7 linked regions of the Ovis aries genome follow. The protein of the gene in region 3 interacts with the protein of the main gene of each other region in a pairwise test. Links are inferred from orthologs where the notes say so. Each region holds a gene or a part of one and is shown on either strand. Other genes may lie near its edges. The genes, in order: PDGFRB, TTBK2, KLHL12, BAG6, indolethylamine N-methyltransferase-like, FLNA and TBC1D10C.

Region 1 (3,781 bases), on a different chromosome or scaffold from region 3:
GACAGAGGGGATGGGAGCTGAGACTGTGGGGCAATTGTGGGGAAAGGCTCTCCAGGTCAAGGGCTTTATGAAAAATACATGGCTGGTCAGGTATGAGGGGCCACCAGGTGTGGGGCATTGGCCATCTTCAGCCACCAGAGGGACGCTGTACGGGTCACGTACTTGGAGGACTCTGGCTGGTTGGGGGACCCCCCTCCCCAGGACCCCACTCTGCTCACTGTGACTACACATACATTCTTAGAGGCCAGGAACTCCATGCCATTGGCCACCTGGTAGCTGAAGCCCACAAGATCCGTGTAGCTAAGCACTGGGGACTCGTTGATCAAAGTCACCCGGCAAGTCCTCTCAGGAGCTAGAGAAGAGCAGAAGGACATTTTGAGTCTCCCCAGGGCCGCAGAACCCTGGCCTCTGGCTCGTAGAGGCTGGATGGCCCAGAGAGGAGACTCCTGATCCTCTAAGGCTGCCCCAAAAGGAAAACAATTTCCAAATATCTCTTAAATTCTCCAACTTCCAGAAAAAACTTTTGGCATTAGCCCTGGGCCACTTTTGCTCAGCCTGGCCTGCCTGCTCCTCAGGGCACTAGTCAGCCTGGGGCCTGCTCTGAGCAGACCACTGTTTCCTGAGGCCCCAGCAGGTCAGGCTTCCCCTCCAATCCAAGCTCCTCTCCTCCCTGAAGGCTGTGTGTACATTTCTTGACCCAAAAACAGGGGTTGATATTGGGGTTCCACCACACAGCAGCTTTGGGCAGGTGGCAGGCCTCAGTTTCTGCATCTATGAAATGGGCACAAGGCCACCTTCCTGGCAGGGTTGTTGCCAGACTGGGTGGAGGAAAGGGTTTGGAAAGAATGTATGACAACACAGGTGTGAGGACCCTGTGTGCACCCACCAGAGGGGACGTAGTTATCATAAGGAGCCATGTAGTTGGAGGACTCGATGTCTGCGTATTTGACATCTCCTTTCATGTCCAGCATGGGCACATAGTCCACCGACTCGTCCTTGCTCATGTCCATGTAGCCACCATCGCTCTCCCCAGGCAGTGACACGTGGCTGGGGGCAGAGGAGCATCACAGAGACAGTAGCACAGGCTCTCCCCGTCCATCCCCCTCCTGCCCCTTTGCTCAACACTGGGGCCAGAAAGGCCCCATCACTTATGCATTTCTTCTCTCCCTCACTCACGCATCCTCCACTCACAATTTGTCACAATATGAACGACCATGTAGTCAGCCCTTCCAGCCAACCTCAGACCCATCCTGAGCTGGGCACTGGGGCTGCCAAGATGACGATAAGATCTAGGTTGTGTCCTCAGAGAACTCATGCCCAGGGCGATTCCAGTACCCAAAGACAAGGGTCACAGGAAGGACGCTGTCCAGCCATGAGGCCCTGCAAGTGAGCAGTGAATCACCTTAATGCCTCTGCCTACAGCATCAGCTCCCCAGAGAGCTGTGGGACAAAGTATACATGTGTCTCTAGGGGGAGAAAAAACACTGGAAGGAAACCAATCAAAATGTTGAAGAGAACATGGATGAATTTTAACATCTTTTAATGCTATTCTTAACTGACTCTTGCCTCTGAAATAGACTAGTATTGCTTTTGCAATGAGCAAGAGAGAAAAGAAATGTCATTTTTGGACAAGCAGAGGAGAGAGTATAGCTACCCTGGAGGCACTGGAGAGACTGCTGTGTGGAAGAGGGGGGAGGCTGCAGCAAGGGAGGAGCAGAGTGGAGCTACAGTGAGGGTCAACCGGGAGCAGGAGGGCCCCAGGTGTTTCCCGTTGATGGAGAGACCATGATGTGTGTTTGGTGAGAGGTCGAAGGGGATCACACCTGCAGAGTGCTCAGTACAGGGCCTGGCACACCTCCTACAACCAGCAGGTGGCAGCTACCATCATCACCACTGTTATTATCATGCCCACCTCTAGGGTGGCCGAGGGGGCCAGGCTGCAGGCTGGCTCTAGGAGCGGCTCCACCCACCCTGGCCTCAACTTCCTGTCCTGGACAAGGAGGGGTAAGCAGGTGCTCCTCAGGGCTCCCCACCAACTCAGGCCCCAGCCTCCCTGCGGTACCTAGGCAAAGGGAGCCCGACAGGCAGGGCGTTGCTGTAGAGCTCGGCGCTGGGCGGGCGGCGCTTGTCCGAGCAGCGCTGCAGGAAGGTGTGCTTGTTGCGGTGCAGGTAGTCCACCAGGTCGCCATAACGGCAGTACTCGGTGATGATGTAGATGGGCCCTGCAGAAGGACAGGCTCAGGAAGAGTCCCAGGGCAGGGGGTCGGGGTGGGCTCAGGCTTCCGGTCAGAGCCATGAGGCTAACGACAGGCTGCATGTGGAACAGCAAACAGGCTCAGGCCCCAGGCAAACCTGGATTTTCCTGGCTGTGAGCAAGGCAGTCTCCCTGAGCCTTACTATCCTCATCTGTCAAATGGGGCTAGTAATACCCACCCCAAAGTACCTCATGAGTATTCATGAGATAATGCCTTTGGTTAGCTCAGCTCAGTGCTTGGCAAACTGCAAGCATAGGGCTAGCTGTTGTTGATGAAGCTGAAATTTGAGCCCAGGATATAAAGCAAAGGCAACTGATTATTACCAGGTTACTGTTTAAATTCAAGCACAATGCATTGACTTGGCAGTTTGAAGATACTGGTGGAATCAAACATTTTGAAATGTGTGACCACTGCAGACAAAAATTAGTCTACGCACATAGTGTACTTCTGTATTTTGTTTTGGTTGCACAATACTGAGGAAAATCCCAAATCTCACAATAAGCAGCTGAAAGTAGTGATAACTTTTTTTGTGTGGCCTAACGTGTAATCAGAGTTTCAAATAAACACACTCAGCTGGAGAGACCTTACTTATTCTACGATCCGAGTGAAAGCAGCTCTCAGTGAGCAAGCCGGTTGGTGGTCTCCAGAGGAAGGGCTCGTTTCAGTGTCTCATGAGCTGTTACGTATCACCCTTTTTAAAATCGACTGCAACAAGCTTTAAACGTCAGAGGGCTCCTTGATTTGGAAACTGCTAGGAATGGTGACCTGGGGAGTGCTTTGGTCTTAGAGGTGATGTGGTTTTGTGACTTGCTAATCCGACACACGTCTGGCTCTGTGAAGTGAGGGCACTGGACTGGGTAGGCACGGGCCCTCCAGTGAGAATGTCCTGTTGTCCTTGGACTGAGGAGGGGGCAGGGAGGGGCCAGGCCTTGGCCACTGGCACTTTCCCAGAGTCCTCTGGGAGGGGGTTGTACCTCCTTTAGTGCAGGCCCCCAGCAGGTTCACCACGTTCAGGTGGGGCCCAAGGTGACTCATGATCTTCAGCTCCGACATGAGGGCTTGCTTCTCACTGCTGCGGGCTGTGGCTGAGGGAGAGAGAGGACCTCAGGCCTGGCCCAGTCACGGAGGCCTCACTGGAGCCTATTCTGGCTCCTCTGCCCCAGTCTGTGCTGTTAGACCCAGGTGGTCAAGGGTGGTGAGGACCCACGGGCAGGAGAAAGGAAAAAGGGTGGGCGGGGAGGCTCCTGGAGGAGGGGGCAGGGTGAGGAAGCCTCTTTACCAAAGGAGAATTGGGAGTGCTGCTGGCTGTGGTATGCCTGTACTTCTGCACCCTGAGAATCAGCACAAGGCCTGCTCTGGGAGTGCCTGAATGTGCGGGGGAGTTGGGGGTGAGGGGAGGGAGGGGCGGGCTCCCAGGACTCACATTTCAGCATCTTCACGGCCACTTTCATGGTAGCCTGAGAATGGCTCAGGCCATGAGCTGTGGCCTCCACCACCTGCCCAAAGGCCCCGGAGCCCAGCGTGCG
Region 2 (4,550 bases), on a different chromosome or scaffold from region 3:
TGAAGTAAAACAGTATAAACATTTAATTTCATATTTTAAAACCTATAAATATTAAAAATGTCCTGCCATATTAAATACTAACCAAATAAACTGATATAGTTCCAGCTATATTTTGAATGTTTCTCAAAAACCTCAAAAATAGTAAAGAAAGAAACACATGACTCTAGTAATTTTGAGTAACATGCACTCAAACTGTAAAGAATGCCACATATCTATAAAAGAATTTTTCTATTAGGGATTTTTTTTCAATGGGAAAGGAAGCAAGCTATACTGTCCATTAGTTCTCAAATGCTTTTTCATTTGCTAATCAATTCATCTGTCACTAGTTCAGTAATGCTCAAACATTTTCTCTTGTTTTACACTATTTTTTGTTTTCTCAGACAACAAACATTTATCATGAGGATTAGGAATCTGAGAGTATCTCAGTTGGGTGGTTCCAGCTCACAGTATGTCCTGAATTGCAAGCAAATTATCATTACTTTAGGATACAAAACTTATATAAAGAATTGCCTGCTCCCCCCATCACCACCAAAGTTAAATTCCATGTCATAGCATACTCAGCTCTGTAATATTTATTTACAATGAGAAAACCACAATCTAGCACTGTCACATTTTTTTAAATGTAAAATACCCTCAAAAGTTTTTTGTATTATACTCGCTTCACTAAAGCAAATGAGCCTTAAACTCATGAAGATTTCCTGAGGCATTAAAATAATAAGTATTTAAAAGGAAGTCAAAAAAAGACACAAAAATCTGAAGTCATATAAAGTACAATAAAGAATTTCCTATTTATGTATCAACTATAGTATAAGATACACTATTCTTAGCCTCCTGCTGCTGCTGCTAAGTAGCTTCAGTCGTATCCGACTGTGCGACTCTGTGCAACCCCACAGATGGCAGTCCACCAGGCTACCTGTCCCTGGGATTCTCCAGGCAAGAACACTGGAATGGGTTGCCATTTCCTTCTCCTACTGAAGATCAGATTTATTTCAACTTAATATTACAAATTAATGATGCTAGGGACTTCAATTTCTTTTATGTGTCTAAAACAAAAAAAAAGAAAAATCATTTGGTAACATAAAGGAAAAGTTACTACAAAAACTTTCTTTTATAACCATGCTTCAAACATCCCTTTCAGCACAGACAAAATGTATCACCTGGAAAACATAAGCTTCTAAATTAGACCCTCCTTTCAGTATGTTTTCAACTTCAAAAGAGCACAAAACATCATCCAAGTCCACACACTTGTTATCTGAAAAAATTTTAGAGTTGAGATGAATTTTTCAAGATTAGTCATATAAGTAATATTTGTCATGATTACTGCTTTATTAAAAAAAAAAACCAGCATTCAGCTTTAAAATAAATTGCCCATCATCCTTTCCCTGACAAATGAACGTTACTCTATTCCATTCAGCCGAAAGAAAACAGCAAATACATCTTTGCAGTCTAGCTTAGCAAATCAGTATTTAGAAATCAATGCAACTGTTATTAATGGATCAGAACCAAACACTGTAACAAAATACACTGAGTGGATCCTCCGTGTGTGTGCAGGTGCACATTCATAATATCATGATCCTCACATATGTGTTAAAAACTCAATTTTTATTTAATACCAAAGCATCTTTACATAATACATGGGTTATTATAAAATTGCCCTCTTTAATGTTCAAAAAAAGAACAATTTCCAAAGTGCAGGATGAGAAGAGTAATACCGGATTGCTGCCACCTATCAACTTTAATTCAAAGCAAAGTACAACTCAATGTCATTTATACCTCTAAGGCGACCACGACTGAAATAAAATTAAGTTCACTGTGGATAAAGTATCCTGGCATCCCACTGGATTATTTACTTCTGATTTGATAGTAAGTATGTGTAGAGTCTTTTGTCCCTCCCGCAACATTCCAGGGTGTCAACACCATCTTAGTCAAAGGAAATGAGGAGCAAATCCCTCAGGTCTACCTCGCACCCTAAGTATCAGAAAGTCACGGTTTCCACGGTCGTTACTACACAACAAACAGATTCTATAGTCCCGTGCCCTCTTCTATTAGATCTGGGAAAGCGAGGTGGGAAAGAAGTGTTTAGTATATCCTGAGAATCCTCTGTGTTCAGTCCTGGTACCCGAAGCAGCATGAATACAAGTGGTATGTGGGTCACCCACAGAGAGAGAGACAGAACGAAGCTTTGTGACCCTCCCAAGTTCAGTGAAGACACCAAAAGCCTCTGGGGATACGGGGCACAACCCTCCGGGGAAACCGGGGAGAAGCAGACGGTCTCCGAGTTGGAGTGATTGAGTCTGGCGCAAGCCCAGGGCGTGGGTAGCGACCGAGGAGTCTCCGGTACCCCTCCCCTCTACACCAGGGTCCGTCACTGGGCGAGGGGCGCGGCCGGAGGAAGGGGTCAGGACCGAGAGAGGGCGGGGGGCGGGGCTCCCCCAGCGGCGTCCTGCGGGGGTCGCGGGGGGTGTGTCCTACCTGGGCCGTGGCGGTCTCAGGGATTTCGGAAGGAGGGCTCGGGTCCAGCTCAGGGCCGGGACCGGCAGCGGTCAACCCTCAGCAGACGGGACGGCCGCCGCCTGCCCATCCCCCACCGCCAAGTGCGGCGGGACCGGAGCGCGGCTTCGAGGGCCGGCCGGCTGGGTAGTCCCCTCGGGTACCGTCCGCGTTTACTGGCGGCGGCGGCGGCTGCTGCTGTTACTGCGGCTGCTGGACGCCCCCAGCCGCTGTGCTTGTGCCAGCCTCTGCTCCTCCTCCTGCCCCCGCCGCCGCCGCCTGGTCCCCACCGCTCCCATCGCCGCTGCGGCGACTACTGCAGCGCCCGCTGACCCGACCCGACGTTATTCTCCCCCTTCGCAACCCAGCACAGCCTAGCCCACCTGCCCTGCCAGTGCGCACGCCCACCTCTCCGCCACAGGTGCTGATTGGAGAGCGCGTCCCAAGCCCGCCAAGTCGGTTGGCTGGTCCCATTGCCTATCACGAAAGGGGCGGAGAGTCAGGCAAAGAGCGTCTCCGCCCCCCACCGGAGAATTGCCGCTATCTTCAGGTTTGCCTGAGAGGGCGAGTTACCGGGAAAGGAGCATCACAATGGCAGCGCGCGTGCGCGCGGGAATTCTGGTCCTTGTAGTTCCAGCCGCAGCCGCAACTGCCCTCTCGTCCCGAGCAGCGAAGTAGGGCTTCTGAGACTGGTGTTTGGCGCATAGTGGTGTCGTCCTAACTCAGCAGTTATCTTGGTTATAGAGACACAGTTATGACGCCAGGATTGGTCTTTTCGGAGGAAGATCGGAAATGCTTTGTCACGATACGAATTTACACACACCGAGGTGTTCGGTCGTGAAGGGCCCCAAATCTTGAGGCCCTGCCTTGCCACCTCCTCAGAACCCTCGCTGCCAGGATCTGGCAAACTGGCTCTATCCCCAGAACAGCCTAACATGAAGCTATTCACCGGTGTGTACTGGGAACAGGCCTGAAAGTGTAAGGAAGAAAGGAGACCAAGACCGCCAGAAAGGAGTCAGCCTGGAGCCCGGCGTATCCTTACGGTTTTCAAGAACAAGATTTCGCTCCCTTTTTGGGAAACACCCCCAGTGAAGGGTTCAATGAGCAGCCCCCGTGAGGTGTCCAGTATGGGCTTCTGGGCGACACTGCGGGAGTCCCACTAAGACTTTAAAAGAAAAGCGAGAAGGGCGGAGCAACGAGGCTGTGTGGGTTAATTTGTCTTTGGTGTATCAAGCTCTTTGGTAAAGAGGAAACCTTATGATAAAACCCCTCTGCCATCCTTACCCACCAACTTACCGAAGAAAAAGCTCAAAGAGGTTAACAGCTTTCCTAGAGCTACAAAACTAATTAGTGGAAGAACCAAACTCCAGTCTGGTAAACTCCCGTGTCCGGTGCTGTAATAATCACAGTGATTCCCAGGAGCCTGAAATCCCATGGATTGAAAAGATTGTGATGAATTCTTAGCTTCATTTTACTCTAAATCTTTTTATTTCCTCGTGACCTTATGATTAAAGTTGATTAAGAATATATAATGATTAAATATGAATCCTATATTCAGTCTCATAACTATTATTGAATCTGTTTCTTGTTCAGGAAATGCCACAGCCTCTTGACATTCTTTGAAAAACAGCAGGCACTTCTGTCATGTCTAGATCCTTGGATAAAAAGCAGGACAAAATATACATTAAAGGCAATTGATGATGCAGCTCTCTTCTATTCAAACTTTAAGAAGTTGCCAAATTGTTTTCTTTCCACTGATTGAAACTACAAGTTGCTTTTTCTGTTACTTTGTCTCACAGAATATAGTTCACTTCAGGGTATTGTCAGGGCAAGTAATTTGAATTGGAAAGGATCAGTGTTTCTGTAAATGATTTTCTTTAATTTTAAAGATGTTTATAGGGGGAAACAAAGTCCAGATTCATTGAAATTATGGATAGCAGGATTTCAAATAGCTATTCTCCATTTGAAGAGAATATTTTTCACTCACTTAGCAAATATAGTGTGCCCTCTTCAAGCTACCCAGATATAATCTCTGCTATCATAGATAAGGGTTTTAGTGA
Region 3 (3,988 bases):
ACTAACAAACGGGTTTCGGTTCTCATCGTTATTCCGTCCTGGGATGAGTGAGATCCAGTCTAAAGACAGGGAAGGGGTGTTCTAATAAGAAAGGACAACATGTACAAAACACAGCAGTAAAAACGACTCCTTGGCAGAAGTATGCTCTTACAAGAACCAGGGGAGTCACCAGGCGACTGCCACCCCCGCTCCTCCCCTCCCCCTATAAACAGTACCGACGGCAACAGTGGAGAAAGCAGTCCTTGATTCAACAGAGGAAAGCCTTCCTGGGATACAGGTGCGGCAGCCGGGGCGGGGGCGGGGGTGGGCAATGGTGAAGTCACAGGAACTTCGGTCTGGGACACGTTTCCTGCACTGCTGCTCTGTGTCTAGGGCCCAGCAAAGACCCTCAGGTAACACGCCCCCTCAGCCTTCCACGTGTTGCAGGCTCTCTCACACCCCACCGCATCCAGGTCCCGTCCTGCACTGGACACCCAGTTCCCCACTCCCGAGGCCCCCGAGGTTTTGACAGGGCTCTTCCCTCGTTTTCCTCCAAAACAGAACTCTGTTGCCCCTGTTACCTGTAGACTAGGAAAGAGATTTATTCTTGGAAAACCAAGAGAGTTGGTACCCTTCCAGCCCTGCCCACACCCTGGAGTTCATGTTCACCTTAATTGTCCACAGCACACGAGGCACAAGGTATATTCTCTGGAGCGCACACGAGGTTAAAGGCGAGGACCAAGTGCCCCCGCGGCCAGGAGAAGGGTCTGGCCGATCACACCCATGCAGGGTGCGGCCTCCGCCCTCGAGTGCCTGCGGCCTCCGCCCTCGGGGACACCCCCAACGCCAGGGCGTGTCAAATAAGCTCAGTGAGAGCCGCGGCACTGAGCCTGTCATCCCCTCCCCGCACTGAGAACAGACATTCTGGAAAGGACCCTTGGTTCTCTGCAAACTGTCTCTTCGCCCAGTCATTTCTCTCGGAGAACACACACGCCGGCGTCGCAGCGCTGAGTTCCCATGGAGGTCACGACCTCCCAGCTGTCAATGATGGGGTCGTAGCACTCAATGCTGCTCAGCAGGGAGTTCCCGTCGTAGCTGAGGGAGAAGGGCCAGCAGGGATAGAGAAAGGCGCACCTCCACCGGCCCCGCCCACCGGCCCCGCCCCCAGCCCTGCCCCGCCCCGGCCTCGCCCAGGGCCTGTCTCAATAGGCTCCGCCCCGCCCCCTCCCCACAAGGCCCCGCCCACAGCCTGTCTCAATAGGCTCCGCCCCACCTCTCCCCACAAGGCCCCCCCTCCCCACAGGGCCCCACATTAAGATTGCCATGGAGCCCTCTCTGCGGAACCAAACCCTGTCTCCACCACACACGTGGATCAGCTCACACGGCCCTGGATCCCAGATTTACCCCTCACCCTGCAATTGCATAAAGTCTCCCCCGAAGCACCGTGGCCCCGACGTAGCACCGCGGGGTGGTCATGCTCGTGACCGTTGTCCAGGAGTCGGTGCGAATGTTGTAGGCTTCCACAGAAGAAAGGTGGGCTGTACCATCGAATCCCCCCACCACATAAATATGGTCATTCAGCAGCGCTACCCCTGCACCTGGGGAGGAAAGGGCACAACAGATGACGGCTGCTGGGCTGAGGATCTGAACCCTAGAAACAAAACACTGACAGACGGCTGGGTGAGCCCCAGAGTGGCCGAGGGATGGGCCAGGGCCAGACAGCCTGGAGGATCTAGTCCAGCACAGGCCACGCACCTGCAGCCCTCTTCGCCTGGCCGTCATCTCACTTTCATTAACTCGGAGCCCAACCCTTGTCATGAGAGAAGGGAGTGGAAAAAAGAGGGAAAGAGAGAGGGGTCGTGATGGGTCTGGAGCATCTGCTACCGGGAGGCAGGGCTCTCTGTTCCTCCACACCAGCCTGAGGGCTCAGAAAGACCCCTCCCTGCCCGACTCCTGCACATGCTCCCTCAGGCAGCCCACGCCACTGCACAGAGCTGAGCTGGAGGCCAGGATGGAGGGAGGGACTCAGGTACAAAAAGACAAGGCAAGGAGGCTCTGCTCTCACCCTAACCCAGGGAGAGTCTGGGCTGTCTCCAATGCCGCTGTATTTAGGGAGCACAGACACTGAGGACAACGGCCCTGACCCATGTTTCCCAGGTTGCCAGTGATGACAGGCCTGCAGCCCCACTGCCCAGGCAGCTCTGACAGCTCCGCCTCCGGCCCCTGGGGCCTGCCCGGTCTTACCAGAGCGCTTGGTGGCCATCGGTGTGACATTAGTCCAGTGTCCTGTATGGGGGTCATACTTCTCAACTGAGTTTAAGATATTCAAGCCGTCATATCCTCCTGAAAGACAGAGCGGGAACCATTCCAGAAAGAATGGTCGGTGCGGATTCCCGCTCCTGGCCTGCCTTCCTCAAGTGCCCTGACTGAGGCTCTTCGTCCCAGCTCTCTTCAAGGGCTCCAGAGAGAAACCTGAGAGCAACCTGTCTTCTGCTCTCACGAAAAGGAGAATCCCAGTGAGTGGAAACTATACTGGGACAGACCAGGGTTTTAGGGGGAGGAAGTCTATGAACCAATTCCAGTGAAAGGGATCCTGCGCCGAGGCCGCTGCCCTTAGTCATCCCGCCCCCACCCCGTCCCAGACCCCACACACCTAGACAGTAGATCACCCCGCTGGCCACCACGAGGCCGGCACCTTCCCGGGCCGTCTGCATGTCGCCCAGCATGCTCCACTGGTCGATGTTCGGGTCATAGCGCTCCATACTGGTGTGGCGCCTGCTTCCATCGAAGCCCCCAGAGACATAGATCATATCTGCTCAGAATGAAGGAGCCACAGACCGTTAGAGAGTGAGAGGTTTGTAACGACTCCTTGTCTACAAATCTCCCACAACTCTTCCAAATGCCTGGAGCCAGAAACAACTGTTTGGTTTTTTTTAAGGGATAAATCAAGTCTTTCTTAAAGAGGACAGCACAGTCAAGACAAGTGAGAAGAACAGGGTAAGATGGAATCTTCAGAAACATTCCTAGATGCGAGTCTGCAAAACTACCACTAGCGCCAGCTGCCCCCTCAGCACACTGGAGCCTGAGTTACCAACTCCAGTGTCAGCACTGAGATGCCTTGGAGTGTTTCCGAAACCAGAAAGGTGTGACTGACCCCACCGGCTGCCTCCACATTTCATGGAGGTGTGAACCCCGATCCAGCCACACCGAGATGCACGCGCCGCCCTGTGCAGCAGCCTACCTCCCAGGGTGGTGGCTCCAGCCAGGCCCCGCCGGACGTTCATCGGAGCCACAGAATACCAGACCCCGTCCTCGTCTGCCGTGTAGTCCAGACACTCCACGGAGCTGAGGCGGGAGCGGCCGTCATAGCCACCAATCACGTAGATCCGGTCGTGAAGGGACACCGAGGCCACATAGCGTCTCTTCCGAGTAATGCTCTGGGATTCAGGGGAGAAGAGGCGCCTTTGCCACTTTAGCCAGACAAGTCTCAGGCCTCACCTTTGTGGTCCTTCCTGGGTTTCCCTCCGCACCTTGTTGCTTTGCCTGTGGCCGTGAAGCCCTCTGAGCAGAGGTTTATCTGCTGCCTGTCCACTGGACAAACGCCTCTTGCTCAGTGATGCTCTTACTGATGAGTGTCTTCTGTGCGTCTGTCTCTAAGGATTCCAGAGGATCTACCATCCTTCCCTTATCCAGTATCTGATTCCTTCCCATTCCATAAGCACTGCGCTAAAGACCAACATCCTTCCGTGAAGCAGGAAGAGACTAGTGCACTGCTCTCTAAGGGCCAGGACCCAATGACCTGAAAGGCCATGAGAAATGACCCAAAGATCCCCATGGTTCTCACAGTTACTGCACTGAAGCAGAAACCCCCAAGGAGACACAGACCCTGGGTCCCACGGACACCAGCTCAGTCCAGCACAGCTGAGCACCGTGCTCAGGCTAACAGGGCAGGAGCGGGCACCCTGTGAACCGATCGGGAGGCCGGAAGGCGTGGGAATGGTGGTGGCCA
Region 4 (4,563 bases), on a different chromosome or scaffold from region 3:
AGTGAGACAGGCAGTGGCCAGCCTTGCCCACTCACCTCCATCCGGGAGAGTAAGGTCTGTATATCCCTGATCATATGCTGAGCCATCACCAGCCGTACTCGGGGCTCACTCTACAATGAGAGAGAAAATCAGGTCAGGCTGGAGACAAAGCCACAAGCTCCATTACCTACTAAACCAGGACCCAGCCCCATCTCTTCAGCCAGACCCATCCCCCACTTTGTGGCCTCCTTCTCCCAGATCCCCTTCCTTGACCCTCCCAGGCCCTGTGATACCTGAATTGGGGCCTGTTCCATGTTGATGTGAACATCCACAGCAGAGCCGTCACTCTGAGGAAAGGGTAAGGGAAGTTGCTCTGGGAGAAGCCAAATACTAAGGCCCCCACGCTTCCAACTGATTCTCTGGTGCCCGACCCCTCTAGATTATCAAAGACAGAGGCTGTTACCAGACCAGAGAGCCCACCAAAGCCCTTCTAAAGACTGACACACCTCTCTTATGAACTCTTGGCTGCTACCACAACCAAAACTGACCCCACAAAAACCCTCCCGTGAGGAACACAAGCTTACGGGAAGATTGAAGGTTCCAACCATGACATAGCTGTTGGCATTCCGGTCATGAACAGAGGCCCCAGGCCCCCGAGTACCAGGCGTGGGTCCCCCACCATGGGTGGCTGAGGTGGACCCTGTTCCAGAAGATGCTCCAGAAGGGAGCTGAGTCTGAGGAGGAGCCCGTTCCACAAGGTGAATAACCTTTCCCCCAACATCTGCAGAAAAAAGATACACACCAAAACATTACATGATCAGGGAAACCCTTGGCCTCAGCTCACTGCTCTGGACAGCAGCCTCAAGCTCTGCTCTGCCTCCCCCACCCCCTTACTGTATTCTTGGAGCTTCTTATCATCCTGCAGAACTCGTCCCTGGTAGATAAGCCGTTGTTTCTCAGATGGGATGCTAACAGAAGCAGCAATATGTTCCTTAAACTCCTTTACGTTCATCTGTAGGGAAGAAGAAACATGACGAGGAATCGGGGGTGGAAGAAAAAGGACAGAAGGGGGACAGCTGACTTGTAAGGGGTAAAAACCATCCCATCCTAAAATTACTACCCACCTGTCTTAATTGTGAGGTAATTATTGAGCAAAGCCCTGAACTAGGGCAACACTTGTCAAAATACATACAATAAACGTAACGAACTTCAGGTACAGGCCCAGGAGAAAACTACAGGGCTGAAGACCAGAAACACCAACTGACATTCTCTTCTCTCCCTCTCTGCCTGGCTCCAAAAGGAATGTGTGTGCCTAGAGATACCGGTGACCCCTCCACAAACACAAAATGATACAACACTGTAACCTTAAAGATAAAAGCAATGACAAAGAAGATGCGGTAGAGAATCAGGTTAAGGAAGGCAGACTCAAGCAAGAAGAAAAAGGGGCAAAGTCAGAAAAATATTTTTCCTAACTAGACAACTGACTTGTGAGAAGTATCCAGCTGTTTACAAACACCTAATCACAAAAGCCTACACAGTCTCATTAAATACACGAAACAATGTGTTTAAAACTATGGATCAACCTCCTTACGGTTTTGTCTATTAAGGATCTACCTGCATTATGAGCATTATGGGATCCGACTCCTATCCTTTAAAAACACAGCATAGACCTCATCAGTTTTTAAGACACTCTTCTACTTTAGGTCCTAGTGTTCTGTTTGCCTTCCCAAAGGCAGGAGCCACATCTGTCCCTTTGGGCTGGGGTTCATCTATCATGTTGGCATACAGATTCCTCCTTCTTTCTTTCCCTCTGCATTGAGTTTTATCGAGGTGGAGGAAGGCAAAGAAAATCTACCTCACCCAACAAAAGCCAAAGAGGAAACATCAGAAAATGTTCTGGATACAACATGAACAAAAGAACCAATGAGAGAAAATTTGAAAACCATAATATCAGGCTCTTCTTTCAGTACAAAGAACCTGTAAGAGGAAGAGTTAATGAGTGTCTCCCAGAAGTACTGGGGTCTCACCTGGGCCCCCACAATAAAGGTCCGGGTCTGAGAGTCCAGGGTCTTCACCAGCACCTCCAGGCTGTCAGGATCCTCCATAGTGGTACTGGTACTATCACTGGGCTCCATGGCCGACAGCTCTCTAAGGAAGAATGTTAGGAGGAGGCCCGCTGTCGCCTAGAGCAGATTTTTATATACCCGGAAGCCTCCCCTGCCCGAGACTCCGCCCCATGCCTAAAGAGTTTCTCCCACACAAGCACACACACTCACACCCGCCCCCATCCCCCTTCTGATTCCGGGGCACAGGGAGAGAAACACAAAGGGTAAGAGATCGACGGCACGGGGAGCTGGAGGGCGGCAGGTGGGAGGGGCTCAACGACGCCAATCACAGTAAGGGAGGGCCAGAAGAGCTAGGAAGACGGGAAGGAAGGAAACACGAGACCGGTGTCATCACCGGTCGCGGTAGGACAAGGGCTCGAGAAGTCGGCAAACCCAGGGGACAACCAGAGAGCGAGGGTCGCGCTAGACTCTGCGGAGAAAGTGGTTTCGCGCACGCGCGCCACGCCACGCCCATCGAACCCGCTTAAGTCACTAGAGACCCGAAATGACGAACACTCACGGGGGGCTAGATCGGCGAGCTGTCTCCCTCTTCCACGTACCCTCGGTGTTCTATCAGAAAGGCACAACCAACACACTCCAAACACATACACACACTCCAAACACACACACACACACACATACACACACACCCTACCACCCAGCTCCGCCCCCGACTTCCCCACGGTACCGTCACTTCCGGTCTCCCCCAACCTGCCACCGACGGCCACTTCCGTTTCCCCGATAGTATTTGGGGATCGCGAGGCGGTACTTCCGGCTCCCCCCAGGTCCCCAAGCTTTACTTTTGTGGGGCTTTTCCAGAAAGTCCGCGGCCCCAAATAGTGAGTTCCTGGGGGCGAGACGGGCCGGGGCCGGCCTAGATGGGAGGGAGCCGAGCACCCCGAAGAGCCGCCGCCACCGCCGTCGCCCGGGGGACCGTACTGCGCCTGCGTGCGTCCTACTACGCATGCGTGCACCCTTAGGCACCTCCCCACCACAGCTGGCGCTGTTCAGTTCTCCCCTGCGCGCGCTTAAGCAATAGGGGGGTTGTGGTGGCCGCTATAAATGCCTGATAAAAAACACGAGATGGGACTCTTCCACTGCCTCGAAAGAGGCTTTGAGCCGTTGTGTGGATCTTGGAGTCTGGAGGCTGGGGATTGTGCCTCGCAAATCTATGCTGAAGTCTTGGTCGGCAGAGAATTTGAGGCGGCACTGTCCAGGCCACCTAGAATCCTGTCTTCTCTTACCATCGTCCTCGTTGAGCCACTCCTTCGGCGTCTCCGGAAGTCACCCTTTCCATAGGCGGTTGGAGGTGGTTCTCGAGCTGATTTACGTGCGGTGGCGTCGTTGGGCCTGACCTCGGTTTTGCCCGGTGGGCGTTTTGTGGCGCCATGTTCTTCCCCGGCGGTTGCGGCCGAGGGCACACGCCATGTTTTGGAGAAACCAAGGATTTAGGACCTTTCAGGACTTTTATCTTAAAAAGGACGACTCCGAGTTTGGGAATTGGAAACATGGGGTCAGACTGGAGTGAAACACAAGACTCTGACCCTGGGGGATTGAGAGGGCCGCCTAAGGGCTTCTACAGGTGGAAGGTCCGGTATAGTTACCGTCCCTCTGCCCTCTTCTCCCCCCGCCCCTCGGGCAAGGGCCTGGGCCCCTCAGTGCTGCCACTCCTCCAGCCAGAGCCGTTGCTGCCGGTGTACCTGCCTCCGGTGCCTGTCCTTTCTGGGATTTGTAGCTTCTACTTAAGTCCCGGTACTGAAAGTTTTAATAAGCACATGTATAGTGAGCCCCTAGTTGGTGCCAGCCGGTTTGCTGAGGGTTTCACATACTGTCACATTTAATAGCCTTTCAACATCTATTACATCCCTTTATATAGGTGCATGTAAGTGGCAGAACTGACAAATCAGGCCTACCAGACTCCCTTGGGTCAAGCACTTCTATTTTACTGCCCCAATAGCTTGCATTTTAGTTTTTTGTTAAAAAATATAATGAACCCTCAGCTATTCATCACCCAAATTTTATTCCTTTAGCTAAATCGCAAGCGCAGAGCAAGCCTCACCTCTCAGAACAAATCTTTATGGCAGCCTGTGGGTTATAAATAATCCAGGAAGTACCATCTTCTTGGCAGTACCCAATGATTGCCTCTTGACAATTCTTTGCCTACTTCCTATTACTTGAGAACATAATACCCACGAGAGACTAATAAGTGCTTTACAAACATTGCTATTAATTATAGGGAATATTTACTTTGGATTTATGTGCAGGCCTTTGCTAAGGGCTTCATATGCCTTAGCTCTTCTAATCCTATGAGATTGATGATTTGCTCATTTTATACATGAGAAAACAGGCAAGATTAATAAAATTGTCCAAAGTAAGGGTTTGGACCCACCCTGCTTGACACCACTGTCTATACTCTAACCACTAGATTCTGTAGCTTCTTGCAGTAATAAACATTAAGTGAATGAACTCGTGTGTCAGC
Region 5 (4,506 bases), on a different chromosome or scaffold from region 3:
AAGACAGACTAGAGACCTAGTTAACTCTCCCTCTCCTTCTTCAGAGGACATGGCTAGAAGATGGCAACTACAGGCCAGGAAGAGCACCCTCACCAAGTTCAAGGATGGATCCTGAGCTCCCAGCCTGCAGAATGAGAGAAGTGAGTGTCTTTGTTCAAGCCACCGCATCTGTGACATTTCGTATGATGGCTCAAGGTGAGTAAAACACCCTCCCACCTAACATAGCACCTATACCTCTCTAGGCCCCTGCGGCTGGAGAGTCTTCTCTAGAACGCTTGTTTTTCCCTGAATCCTTCCTCCATGTACTTTGGGGGCATTGTGCTTCCTACGAGCATGTGAGCTCCACGGGGCAGAGGCTTCATTCACTGTGCTATTCCCAGCATCTGGAAGTGACCTGACTCTCAGAATGCTCTCTGTGAATGATGACAAGAATGTATGAAGCCCAGGCTGGGATGATGCAGAGACCCTGTGCTCAGAGACCCTGAGGCCCTGTTCCATTTCAGGCTGCCCTTAGTCTGTAATTTGGTCAGGCCCCCATGGCCGAAAGATGGGACAGGAATTTAAAGTCTGGTCTTTGTCCTGCTCTAAGGTGACCTAGAGGTCACTCTCCACATCTGGGCTTCGGTTTCGTGGACTCTGGTTGATGGATTCCCTCTCTGTGAACTGGATGGGGAAGGTGCCTGGAGGGGCTGAGTGCTGTTGGTCTCTGGGACTTGGTAGCAGTGTGGAGGAGATAGATGTGGGTGATTCCAAGAAGCTCATGTCTTCCCATAACACGTGCCCCTCCAACACTAGGTAACGTGGAAGCTGAACCACGAGTTTTGAGAGCAAAGAGATCTGCGTGTGCTGGAGCAATCAGGGGAGCTTCCAGCTCCCACAGGTTGGAAAAGGTCCCACAGGTTGGAAGGGATGCAAAACATGGAGAGCAAATCAGGTAACCGAAGCTTTGATCACAGGCAACTCTGAGGCTGCAGGTGGGACTCACTCAAAGGGAGGGAGGTGCTCTGGGCCAGAGACCCAAGTGGGTTAGGAACAAGCTAGAAGGAGCTGGCCAGTGATGCAGGGTGGCAGGCTCAGACTCAGGCCTGTGAGGATGGGAGACGTCTTGTGAGAAGGATGGGGACTGTGGATACCTGTCTCCCTCGAGCCCACACACGTATTGCATGGCTGGGGACCAGTCATAGGCCCCCGGGTCCTTCTTCAGCCACTTGTCCACCTCCCGGAGGTTGAGCTCTGAGTAATCTGACATGATGATCTCCCGGAAGGCCTCGCAGGCCGAGATAAGCTGGTAGATGGTGGGGCCTGTGCCGACGTCGATCAGGATGTCGCCTCCAATGCCTCCTGCAGGAGATAGCGTGTTCCAGGTGTGGGGGGCAGACACCCGACTCCATGCCAGTTGTGGTGGATGGAGATGCCAGGCTCTGCCCTTTCCCCAGGGTGACTCCCAGGGGATCCGACCCTGCCTTGGGCAGTTACGTGGACTGTCTGAGGATTCTAGACCCTATGTCTGCGGCTCAGAAGGGTGAGAAAGGAGAGTGGGGCACAGGCTGGCACATACTGGGTCCCCCTGCTGCCTCAAGGGTTGCTACTGGAGCCCTGGTAGGACAAGTCCTGCCCTTCTGGGCAGCTTTCAGGTTGACTTCTTGGTAGAAGCTGGTTCATTGGCAAGTCTCCTGACTCTGGGTTTAAAGCAATGGTGAGAGTGACCCCACGGCCCCCTCCCACCTCCTTGCTGCAAGGACAGAGATCCTGATAAAGGCCGAGAGCTGAGCCAGTGGGTTCAAAACTCGCTCCACCAATCACGGAAGGCAGGAGGATCTTGTGGTGAGTTGCGGGAAGAGCAGTATAAGTACATCGCCTTCCTCTCCCTGCTTCCTCCCTCCCTCCTCCTCCATTGAAACCAGTCCATTTTCCAAGGCTTAATCCCAGTCCTTCCTCCAGAGTCTCCTAAAATTTCTCGATGAGCCTTAAGCTTTCATTTGTCTGTATTTCTGTGGACCTCGCTTGATCTCCTTCTTGGCATCGAATACATAGGGCAAGGTTTGTTGAATGACTGAGTAACCCCCTAGTTGTTCAGTGCACTCCCTGTGCAACTGTGCAAGGCAGCCCTGCATGAACTGATTTTGAGATTTTCTACTGCCAGTGACAGGTGGGCTGACCTGGGCTGGCCAGCCTGGTGTCTTGCACCTCAGCCTCCCCTTGTGTGCATGGAGGACTTGGGTGATAATCTCTGCCGGTCCCCCCACCCTGACAACTCAGAGCAGAAATTTGTAAACTGAGCTCTGTGGTTTGGCTTTGGGTATCCATGAACCCTCTTAATTTTGTGTAAAAGATTAAGAGTGTTTCTGTGTTGTGTATATACCAGATGTTTCATCAGGTTTTCAAGGCGGCTCAAGAGACCAGGCTATAAAGCCACGTTTATGTTACTGAAGGGGAGGCAGTATGCTCATATCTGTTGTTGCCTATCCCTTCCAGCATGAGTCTGTGAGGAGCCGCACAGTTCAGGAGGTACCTTCCCATTTCACAGGGCAAGAAACTGAGATGGACTGTCAAAGATTCAGGCCTGGTTCCTGGGCTGCAAAGGCCAGTGCTTGGGTTCCCCGAGTGGCCAACCAGTGACAGTCCTCGTGGATTCACAGCTGGGCTGCCTTTGCAGCCTCCTAGGTGAGTGGTGTCCCAGAGGCCAGGTCCCCTGCCACCAAGAGCCCTTCCTGTAAGGCGCAGCCCCATCGTCTGCCTGAGAGGGAGACCAGACACTCACCTGGAGAGAAAGTTTCAAATAGATTATTCAGGTTGAATTTCAAGATTTCATTTTCAGCTACGGTGCCTGAATCGAAGGCATAGAAGGTCTTTAAGTAGTCCCGGGGTTGGAACTCTGTCTTGTAGTCCTGTCCTTTGTACAGCTTGCCCTCCATTCTGGCTGTGGACCTTGCTGCTTCTCTCCTGCTGCGGTTCCCCATTTTATCTACCCTCTTTCCCTAGGCCCTGCCCATGGGGAGTTTCATAATCTCATCAGACAGACCTTCCCTCCCAGGGAGGAGCTAGGATTGCACATCATGGAGTCAGGCCACATGTTAGCTTTCTGGCTGGGGTTTATCTCTTTGGTAATCATCAAAACAGAGAAACACCAACAGGGTGGTCAACAAATGCTCCTGGGGGGGGATTGGTGGGTCTCAGTATTTCGTTTCTGAGAGGTGATGTTTTGAATGTAGATGCTGCTGGCAAGGGTTAGATTTGGGAGAGAATGAAGCAGAGGGTCTGGGCCACAGAACAAAGAGAGAGACACAGATGAGCAAAGAGAGATAGACAAAGACAAAGGCATAGAGAGGGCAAGTATCTGGAATAGGTCAAGTGTCCTTCTCTCTCTGGGTTTGCTGGGAAATGAAACGCAGAAAGGAAAACCCTGTAGCATGGAAAACAGAATGCAGAAATGGCTGAATTTCACTCACTGAGGTCAGTGAGTTTGCTCTTTAAATTGTTAGTCCTGAACTTGGTTGAATATTTCCTCCTATCTTCAATCCTATTTACTCTATTTGCTTAATCAATCCTTTATTTGGTGAGGATAGAAATAATTGTAACCAGGGCCACCGAAAAGGTTGAGAAGCCTCTGTTTGCACAAATCACTTTAAAAGTGTTGGCATTCATAAACAGAACATGTGATTAAATTTTGTGGAACTTGCTTGCATGCACAATCACACACACAAACACACACAGAAATGCACACACGCATAACTACTAGTAAAATGTGTAACAGATGAATGAGGGCTGTGGGTTGTATCAAAAGGGTTGCCTGCACTTCTGAATAGGTTTCAGATTGACTTCTTGGTAGGAGCTGGTTTATTTCCAGCAGTCTTCTGGTTGTGACAATTTTTTGGTTGTGATACTATGTTTTGACAGATGCTACCATTATACTATCATTGAAATGTACTCAGATCTCTCTCTATTATTTCCTACGCTGCATGTGAATCTACAAAATAAAAAGTTATGTTAAAAAAAAAAAAAGTGTTTCCAAAAGGATAAAAAACAGAAAAAAAAAAAAAGTGTTTCCAAATCTCTTCCCCAAATTCACCTAAGATCAGAGATTTCAGGTAGCAAACTCTAATGTGTTTTGCAAATGGGCAAGTCTGGGACCCTGGGGTGTAGTGTGCCGGGTGTGTCCATCACACTCATCGTCTGCCTTCTTTGTGACGAACTGTGGAGTAGATGTTGAGACCTACTCACTCCTTGGAGATTAGGAAGCTGAAGGTGATGAGCCTTCTCCCAGGGGGGTTCTGGCAGCAAGTGACGGGGTCTAGGAGTAGATTTAAGGCCAGCGTCCAAAGCCCAAATAAAGAATCACTCCAAATGTATTGTCTCCTCATCACGCTGTGCGGTCTAGCAGGGTCGCTTGGCTGTGCTGCTCAAACTAGCATGCCCAGGAATCACCCGGGGATCCCTCTAAACGCAGATTGTTGTTCTTGAGATTTTACAGCCTTAATAATCCTAGGTGATACTGAGGTCCCCGTG
Region 6 (4,270 bases), on a different chromosome or scaffold from region 3:
TCGTTGGCCCCGGAGCGGGCGAAGCTGCGAGGAAATGCTGAGGTCTCCCTCCCGCGCTGTAGGAGACGCTGCAGCGATGAAAGGCTGAGCAACGTCTAGAGCGGGGGACCGCTTGGCCTGCAGCGGGCACACCATACAAGGGACTTTCCTTCCCCAAGGCCCCTGCGGGGGGTGGCTCGCCCTCCGTGAGTCACGTGGACTCCGCTCGGTCCCCGCCGCCCCCTCCCCCCCAACCTCCGGCGCTCGGGGGTCCCTGGCCGCGCCACAGCCAGCCGCCTCGCCGGCAGCCGAGAGAAAGGGCCCGATCCGAAGGGGCGAGCCCTTGGAGAGCGCGGGTCTGGAGAAGGCTCTGCTGCCCGCGCCGGGCGTGCGTGCGCCACGCCAGGGAAGGCCGTAGCCGCACGACCCTAAGCCGCCCCCCAGACCCCCAGAACCCCAGAACCCCAGAACCCCTGCCCCAGCAAGCCTTCCCGCTCTGCAGGATCCTGGCCTGCGCCCGCCGGTCCCAACCGCCTCCCTCCCTCCCCCCTGCACCCCAGAGGAAATGGGGCACTGGGCCAGGAGGCCACCGGCGCTCCAGGAGCCAGCAGCCTTGGAAGGGGCCTGGGCATGCCAATGGGCACTGGCACGGGGTGCCCTGTGATGCGATGCATGCAGAGATGGCGGGTAAGCCTGCCTCACCCACCGGCAGTCTACCAGAGGCGCGAGGGGCTTCCCCTCCGTGGCTGGGATGGCCCCTGAGCCCAGCGTGACCCAGGAGGCTGCCAGAGGGACCTGCCCCGGGCTTCCGATAATGCACTCTGAGCACCTGGGTCTCAGTGGGCTTCGGGGTCGTGGGAGAACAGAGGAGGCCTCCCGGACAGGGGGGCCAGGGGACTGAGGGGGGGCAAACCATGAAAGGCAGCTGGGGCCTGCCGTGGAGCCAGGACTGGGTACTGGGGACCTATTCGCTCAAAATACATTTTCTTGTAGATAACTGGAGACTATGGGGGGGATACTAAGACCAACAAAGGCACAGAAGCAAGAGGCCTGTCAGGGACAGTCACTGCCACCTTCTTCAGTCTGGAGAAGCCAGCCTACTGGTGGCTTCGTCCCCAGAGTGGACTCACTTCCCTCGGTCCTGTGTCCTTCCCCTCTGCAGGATGTTCCCTTCTTCACATCTTTTTTTTTTTTTCCCCCAGAAAGGCATGTCTCTGTCCCTCCTGCTTCGTACTTAGATCGAGCTTCCTACTAGCAGTACCTCAGTTCTCTGCTAAAGACCAGTGGGAAAGAAGCCCCTAGGTCAGCATGCCCAAATAAGGCCAACTCTCACAGCCCTGGGGACTGTGTCACCCACAGTGGGGCTGCAGTCAGCACCTGGCCTCCAGCATGCTCTCTTTGGGGCTGCCTGGTACCCCACACTGGTTTTTGCTCACCAGTGACATTTTTCAGTCTAAAGGCCTGACCACTTTAGACACACCTGCGCAAAATTCCACACCATGGTGTCTGGGGACTGGGATGGAGGTGGGAGTGACAGCAGTAGAGGGGGACCCGTGCAGACTCCTCCCTAGCAGGCCCCACCCAAGCAGAGATGAGAGCCATCCTTCTGATCCCCTGCCCCCCTGAAGAGCCAGTCCCCCAAGGAGAGAATCATACTGAGAGTTCATTGTCACTTGACAAGTGCCATCCAGTTGCATTATCTGTGTTCTTTTCTTAATCTGCAGAGAGCAGGGAAACTGAGTCAGCGTCAGTAACCAGCAGCCAACTCCAGCAGAAAGGGGGACAGAAGCCCTGGCTGCCAGCCTTAGGCTTCTTCCCTATTTGGGGGGTGATAAGAGATGGGGCTCTAACGAGTTCTTGTCCCCAGGGGACATAGTATCACCACCAGGTGGCGCCCCATCCCAAAGCCCCCAGATAGGGCAGTCCCTGGAAGCTGAAATACAGCTCTTTCATATTTTCCCTTATTTGGAGTCGATTTCTTGGATGTTGTTAGACACACCCCGCCTCCCACCCCAACTCCTTCCCTCAGACCCCAAGCCAGGCCCTCCCACGGCTGGTGAAAGAGAGGCACAGGGTGGCAGGAGAGGCTGCCCAAGCCCAGGTGTGGCAGGCAGGCTGACAACGCTCCAGGGCTGAATTCCCACCTTGACTGCGCTGCTAGGAGCCCGTGCAGGTGGGTCTCCCAGCGGCCGTCACCTACTCCTCCTGGCCCAGGAATTGGGGTGGGTGGGGGTGGGGGGCTGGCCTTCACATCCTGCCTGGCAGTGAACATCCAGCTCAGAGCCAACCTGGGACAGGGCCCAGCCTCGAATCTAGCATGGCCAACCCCATGTGCCCTCGCCCCAGTGGAGCGCAGCAGCCCAGAAGCCAGCCCCACACCTCTACCCAACGCAGCCAATGCCCAGAGCACTGATGTCAGGGAGGAACCGACCGTCGACATCCCTCCTGGGGGCATATTGGCTGCAAAGTGTCTTTCCAGGTGGCCTCTCGCCCTGACCCCACACAACGTCCTGCTTCAGAGCCCTGCCTTCCTGGACAGTCATGCAATGACCTGCCCCCCAGTTCACCCTCCCAGGGCACCCCCATGGCTGTTGGGCTCTCACACTGCGGGGCCAGACCCAGATTCCCCAGGAAACCAGGGAAGGCGGCTGCACCACCACACCCCGGCTTGCAGCTGGCCCCGGGCACCCCACCACCAACTCCGTGAGCTGCCCGCCGACCACTCTGCTCGGTGCCCGCCAACCGCTCCGCCCGGTGCCCGCCGCGGACGCCTCACCTTCTCTCCCTGCGGGCGGCCGGCGGCCGCGGGGTGGCGCCTGGCAGATCTTCGAGCCCGCGCCTGGCGCCTCGGGGCTCTGCTGGCGTCTGCTGCGCGCCGGGCGCCTCCACGCGAATGGGCCGCTGCCGCCCGCCTTCTTGTTGGCCGCACCCCCGCCCCGCACCCGGCCCGACTCGGCCCGACGAGAAAGCCTTAATTGGTAAAAATCACCCAGGAGCGGGGCGGGGGGGGGGTTTCGAGGGGGGGCCCCGCGGGGGCGCGCCGTGAGCTCAGGCGCCTGGGCAGCCGGCGACGCCCCCCTACCCCCGTTGAGATGAGCTCACCCTCTGCTGACGGGGAGGGGCGGCCCGGAGGGTCTGCAGAGCCTGCGTCTCGGCCCAGCAACGAAGGCCACCTCCTCCAGGGAGCTGCCCAGTCTTGCGCCGCCCCCCTACCTTTACCCCAAGCCTGGGGCTGGTCGGACTAGTTGGATTCTACCTTGGAGGGGGAAGTGCAACAGGCTCTAGCAGGTATGCACTGAGAGCCTCCCACCTGAAAGTCTGCACGGGGGCAGGGACCTGAGCCCCAAGACAAGCCAAACAACATCCCGGGCTGGCATGGGTTTGGCCCCTGCCCAGTGCCAGGCCTGGCCTGGAAGCAAGCAACAGAAGTGGACTGAATTCTCAGCAGCACAGTTAGCTGCAGTCCTGAGGCCTGGGCATGGACAGTGGGGTGCAGCCGAGGAGCCAAGCGTCTGGGGAACTAGGTGGGCACAGCCACACCCTGGCACTGCCAGGCTCCCTCTTCGTCTTCTGTGTGCCCATTTCCTGGTATTAACAGCGTCGTATTCAGCTCAAATGTCACTTCCTCGGGGAAAGCCACACAAAGCAGTGTCTTCTCACTGTGCCCACAACCCCCACAAAGAACTGCATCTTACATCCTGAGCCAATATTTGCAGGCACACACGCAGATCGACACAAATGGCTGAAATAAACGTTCCACGAAGTGAGACTGTCCCTTACCACCTGAAAAGCACTCTGATCTTTCTTCTTTTATTCTACTTCATTAAAGGAGAAAAAGCAAAGAAGGGAGCTGCTGCTGCTGCTAAGTCGCTTCAGTCGTGTCTGATTCTGTGTGACCCCATAGACAGCAGCCCACCAGGCTCCGCCGTCCCTGGGATTCTCCAGGCAAGAACACTGGAGTGGGTTGCCATTTCCTTCTCCAAAAAGAAGGGAGGGAGGGAGGCAAAAGGGGAGAAGCAGGAAGGAACAGGGGGGAAGAAAGGAGAAGTCTGCTGTCACCTGCTAACGTAGTTTGATATCTACAGCTGCACACTAACAGGAAGGCACTGATTGCCCTCCAGGCCTCTCCGCAGCCACTGCTGCCTTTGTTGGCAATGACCTCTCCACCTTGACCCCAGGTGAGATCGCCTAGCAGTGGCCTCGGTCTCTGTTTCTCCCCGCCCCATCTAGTGGGATCCACCCCTCCGCCCCTCACGGCAGTGGGTTATCCTCCCTTGATAGATGAGCAGTC
Region 7 (3,568 bases), on a different chromosome or scaffold from region 3:
CCCTGTTGTCCTGGCAATGGCTCATGTCCCAGGCACCTCGGGCACCCACGGGGGCAATTAGCAAGTGTGGGAGGGGGTTTCCATGGTGGCAGTCCCCAGGGGTTGCGGCTGGGGTTTCAGGAGGGGGCAAGGGCCGGCGGGGCCTTTCTCCTTTGTCCGGGCACACTAGGCCTTTGTTCTCAGCCGGCTCTCTCTGAGGACGGGACTAGGACCCGGGGTGGGGTGGGGGGGCAGACTTGGGATAGAGTGCTCCCACTGCTGGGTGTGCTCCTGAAATCAGCAAGGGGAGGGAGCAGAAGAGGAGACAGAGTCCCACATGTGGGCCCAGCGTCCACTGGGGGAGCCCTCCTCCCCCAGGCACAGGAGCCTCACCTGGCCCCAAGAGGCTGAGTGCTGCAGCTTGCCATTGGTCCCTGTAGCTGGTAAACACCTTCCAGCACCCAACGGGCAGCCTCCATGTGCCCTGGGGAGCTGGGGCGGGACTAGGAGGGGCGGGGCCGTAACAGGAGGGGGCAGCTGGTGGAAGGTTTCGGGTAGAGGGCATTGATCTGACCCCATGCAGGCTTCTGTTCAGACTTTATTCCAGGGCCCTCATGAGCCTTTTGGGGTCCCTGTGGCCCAGCCCATGCCCTTTCTTGCATACTCCTCCAGTGCAAGCTTGATGTGTGCAAGGGCCCAGGCACTGGGGCAGCCCTGTGGGTGGGGGATGGCCTGGGTCCCCCAAACCCCACTCTGCACCCTTCCGTCCTCCTCAGGCCTGAGGCAGTCCATGGGAAAGGAATGAGGCATCCAACCCCAGCTGTAAAGTGCGGTGCCCACTTCAAGGCTGGCATCCACTGTTCAGGCAGTTGGGATCAGGGGGACCCTGAGTCCGTGGTACCCTCAGAAGTGGGACCTACCCTCAGAATCGGGTGTCCAGGAAGGAGGTGGAGCTTCTGTGGGACCTGGCGGGGCTCTCGATAGGGGGGCCCCTGGACCGGGTCAGCAGCCCGTGGAAAGTCTTGCCTCGGGTCTGGGGCTTGCGCCGGGGCGGCCGGGGCTCCTCTGGGGGCTGTACCACGATGCGAGGCACCTCGGGCCGGGGGTTCCCCTGGGTTCCTGCCAGCTGCTGGGCCTCAAAGATGGCTGGGGCCCCCGGCAGGCGGGCCTGTGGCCTCGGGGGTGGCTCGGATGCTGATGCGGGCAGCTGGGCCAGCTGGGCCTTGATCTCCCGCTGCAGGTCCTGTTCGGACAGGGCCACGCCATGCACCTGCGGGGAGCAGTTGATACTGAGCCTGGGGGAGGGCAGGAAATGATGAGATCCCCGCAGGGCAGGCAGCACACAGCCCCAGGAAGTGGCTGAGGGCTGAGGGCCTGACAGACAAAGAGGCAGACTAAAAGGCACTTGAGGCCTGGGGTTTCCACCTTCTCTGCTGCTCAGAGGACAAGAATGGAGCCCCGTGCTTACTGTGACTACTCCTCCAGGCCTGTTTCCCCAGCTGTGCAGGGGGCTGCTGGGCCACTGCAGGGGGCGCGCAAGGGGCACCCACCTGGGGCATGAAGACCTCTTCTTGCAACTGGGCAGGGGGGATGGATCGAAGGGCGCCGAGCGTCTCCAGGAGCCCCGGGCAGGCCAGGCGCTGTTCAGTGGTGCCCAGCGCCAGGCGTACCAGGGTCAGCCCCACGCGGAACAGCACCTTCACACCTGCAGGCCAGTGGGGCTCGCTCAGTGCGGGGCCGGCTCTCAGCCCGGGCCCGAACCTGTCCTCGGCCAGACTCCTTCCACCCTCCTGCAGCTCTGCTGCCTGGACTGAGCAGGTCGGCCATCCAGGGACACCAGCCAGCGGGTCCCAGCAGCCACTGATGCTCATGGGCAGCACAGCCTGCCAGGAGCCAAGGGCTACTGACAGCCTCACACGGGCTTTCTCATTCTGGGCCTCAGCTCCGTGCCCCATCCAGTGAAGGGCTGGGTGGTAACAAGACAGCCTTTCTAGCTCAGATCTGTGAGCTTCTGATTCTAGAAAGATTCAAGCCAGAACTCCTCACCCCTAAGCTAAGAGCACATGCAGGCACGCACACGCACGTGACTTTGGCCTGCTCCTGGAGCCTCAGGGCCCCTCCCTGGCAGCCTCGGGTCTGCTGAGAAAGGCAGTCGGGGGACCAGTGAGGCCTGGTGACCACTGTGCCGTGTGAAGAGACAACAGGACTACTAAGGTCGTCACCGTTATCAACGGGCAAGGGCACCTCCACGGGGCCCTGCCTGTGCCACCCTCGAGGCCCGAGTGCAGGGGAGGACAAGCAGACAGTGACTTGGACGTCCGTGGTTAGAATGCTAACCCACTCTGAAGCCAACTGGGCATACAGCGGGTGCTCAGTAGATGTACTGGTGGATTTCTACCACGCAACCGCTGGACAACCCGCATAGAACAGAAAGCAGCTGTGCCACTGATGGGGGTACCAGGCAGGGCCCCAGAGATCCAGAGTCCAGCTCAGCTTTGCCCCGACTGCCCCCCGCTCTTGGCCTGGCACCTCTCCCCATGCCCGCACCCCTCAAGTCATCCGTGGCTGGGACCCTGCGGATAGGGCCCTGCCTGCCTCTCCTTCTCCACCCGGCTCCACGTATCTGCCTCTTTCAAGGAGTGGCCGCCAGCGTATTTAAACAGCCCTCTCCTGCCATTCCCCTACACTCTGGTATGTCCTTTGTTTTATTTTCTTCATGGAACTTAAGACAATCTATAAATATCTTGTTAATTTGGTACCACCGCCTCCCATCCCCACCCCCACCAGAATGTAGGTCTCACTTACTCAAGTGGCCTTGGCTCCCAGAGGCGTGCCTGGCCTCTGAGGGCTCGCAATGAGGGCCCAGGGGCTCCATCTGCTGTGCCCCCACAGTGCCCAGTCCCCGAGCTGTGCCACTGCTGTGGTCTCTCCAGCTCCTGCCCCATCGACCTTGGGGAAGCCTCCCTGACTCCAGCCCTCCCCCCACGTGGATGCTGTGCCCTCCCTGTGGTGATCTCACTGATTGTGGCAGGGGCTGCTGTTCCTCCCACTGGTGATACATGGCTAACAGCGACTACCCTCAGCACACCCCAGCACCCAGGCCCCAGATCAGGGTCGGCAGTGGCGGTGGGGCAGAGCGAAGCTGGCACCTCCACCTTCCGTGCCCACCAGGCACCCCCTCCTGCCCCCGCCCACCTGGTCGGCCCCTCACTCACCCTCGCTAAGAAAAGCGTCCCAGACACGCAGCACCGTTGGGAAGGGCAGGGAGCGGGCGAAGAGGCACAGGAACCACTCGGGCAGGTAGAGCAGGGGCCCGACGCCCACCTTCTGCAGATGCTTGTGCACGCGAGGGAGCAGCCGTCGCAGCAGGGCCGTGAACACCTCAGCGTCCAGCCGCACAGCCTCCTGCGGCCACGCCCATCAGCACCGGCGGCTGGCGTCCCCAGGCGCCCACTCCCCCCCAGCCCTCCCCCCCGTCCCTGCCTCTCACCATGTGGGGCCCGTAGTAGCCAGGAAGGTAAACCTCGCAGATCTGGACCAGGCACCAGAAGGCCTCCTGGGGGTGGGCACAGGCCTTGAGTGCCTGCCG

The links.
Region 1: the proteins of KLHL12 (region 3) and PDGFRB interact in binary tests that used the Homo sapiens proteins (3 or more experiments, as listed by UniProt). The two-hybrid records come from large-scale screens. The link is inferred for Ovis aries from reciprocal best matches to the Homo sapiens genes KLHL12 and PDGFRB.
Region 2: the proteins of KLHL12 (region 3) and TTBK2 interact in binary tests that used the Homo sapiens proteins (3 or more experiments, as listed by UniProt). The two-hybrid records come from large-scale screens. The link is inferred for Ovis aries from reciprocal best matches to the Homo sapiens genes KLHL12 and TTBK2.
Region 4: the proteins of KLHL12 (region 3) and BAG6 interact in binary tests that used the Homo sapiens proteins (3 or more experiments, as listed by UniProt). The two-hybrid records come from large-scale screens. The link is inferred for Ovis aries from reciprocal best matches to the Homo sapiens genes KLHL12 and BAG6.
Region 5: the proteins of KLHL12 (region 3) and indolethylamine N-methyltransferase-like interact in binary tests that used the Homo sapiens proteins (3 or more experiments, as listed by UniProt). The two-hybrid records come from large-scale screens. The link is inferred for Ovis aries from reciprocal best matches to the Homo sapiens genes KLHL12 and INMT.
Region 6: the proteins of KLHL12 (region 3) and FLNA interact in binary tests that used the Homo sapiens proteins (3 or more experiments, as listed by UniProt). The two-hybrid records come from large-scale screens. The link is inferred for Ovis aries from reciprocal best matches to the Homo sapiens genes KLHL12 and FLNA.
Region 7: the proteins of KLHL12 (region 3) and TBC1D10C interact in binary tests that used the Homo sapiens proteins (3 or more experiments, as listed by UniProt). The two-hybrid records come from large-scale screens. The link is inferred for Ovis aries from reciprocal best matches to the Homo sapiens genes KLHL12 and TBC1D10C.

The regions. Positions count from the first base shown.
Region 1 is NC_056058.1:59,242,841-59,246,621, forward strand, and holds part of PDGFRB (platelet-derived growth factor receptor beta), read right to left. Parts: coding exon 3,679-3,781; intron 3,341-3,678; coding exon 3,230-3,340; intron 2,223-3,229; coding exon 2,063-2,222; intron 1,048-2,062; coding exon 887-1,047; intron 353-886; coding exon 234-352; intron 1-233. UniProt on the Homo sapiens protein: Tyrosine-protein kinase that acts as a cell-surface receptor for homodimeric PDGFB and PDGFD and for heterodimers formed by PDGFA and PDGFB, and plays an essential role in the regulation of embryonic development, cell proliferation, survival, differentiation, chemotaxis and migration.
Region 2 is NC_056060.1:36,387,443-36,391,992, forward strand, and holds the start of TTBK2 (tau-tubulin kinase 2), read right to left. Parts: upstream 2,814-4,550; 5' UTR 2,473-2,813; intron 1-2,472.
Region 3 is NC_056065.1:79,311,695-79,315,682, reverse strand, and holds the end of KLHL12 (kelch-like protein 12), read right to left. Parts: intron 3,417-3,988; coding exon 3,221-3,416; intron 2,792-3,220; coding exon 2,633-2,791; intron 2,323-2,632; coding exon 2,224-2,322; intron 1,578-2,223; coding exon 1,391-1,577; intron 1,075-1,390; coding exon 948-1,074; 3' UTR 557-947; downstream 1-556. UniProt on the Homo sapiens protein: Substrate-specific adapter of a BCR (BTB-CUL3-RBX1) E3 ubiquitin ligase complex that acts as a negative regulator of Wnt signaling pathway and ER-Golgi transport.
Region 4 is NC_056073.1:26,725,926-26,730,488, reverse strand, and holds the start of BAG6 (large proline-rich protein BAG6), read right to left. Parts: upstream 3,027-4,563; 5' UTR 2,773-3,026; intron 2,768-2,772; exon of another isoform or gene 2,605-2,767; intron 2,544-2,604; exon of another isoform or gene 2,256-2,543; intron 2,128-2,255; 5' UTR 2,115-2,127; coding exon 2,007-2,114; intron 992-2,006; coding exon 874-991; intron 761-873; coding exon 564-760; intron 327-563; coding exon 273-326; intron 111-272; coding exon 36-110; intron 1-35. Other genes in the region: APOM (apolipoprotein M), read left to right, coding at 3,473-3,836. UniProt on the Homo sapiens protein: ATP-independent molecular chaperone preventing the aggregation of misfolded and hydrophobic patches-containing proteins.
Region 5 is NC_056057.1:67,134,976-67,139,481, reverse strand, and holds the start of indolethylamine N-methyltransferase-like, read right to left. Parts: upstream 2,938-4,506; 5' UTR 2,916-2,937; coding exon 2,762-2,915; intron 1,342-2,761; coding exon 1,134-1,341; intron 1-1,133. UniProt on the Homo sapiens protein: Functions as a thioether S-methyltransferase and is active with a variety of thioethers and the corresponding selenium and tellurium compounds, including 3-methylthiopropionaldehyde, dimethyl selenide, dimethyl telluride, 2-methylthioethylamine, 2-methylthioethanol, methyl-n-propyl sulfide and diethyl sulfide.
Region 6 is NC_056080.1:80,076,439-80,080,708, reverse strand, and holds the start of FLNA (filamin-A), read right to left. Parts: upstream 2,871-4,270; 5' UTR 2,756-2,870; intron 1-2,755. UniProt on the Homo sapiens protein: Promotes orthogonal branching of actin filaments and links actin filaments to membrane glycoproteins. Anchors various transmembrane proteins to the actin cytoskeleton and serves as a scaffold for a wide range of cytoplasmic signaling proteins.
Region 7 is NC_056074.1:41,706,443-41,710,010, reverse strand, and holds the end of TBC1D10C (carabin), read right to left. Parts: intron 3,536-3,568; coding exon 3,470-3,535; intron 3,385-3,469; coding exon 3,195-3,384; intron 1,685-3,194; coding exon 1,530-1,684; coding exon of another isoform or gene 1,448-1,529; intron 1,250-1,447; coding exon 902-1,249; 3' UTR 560-901; downstream 1-559.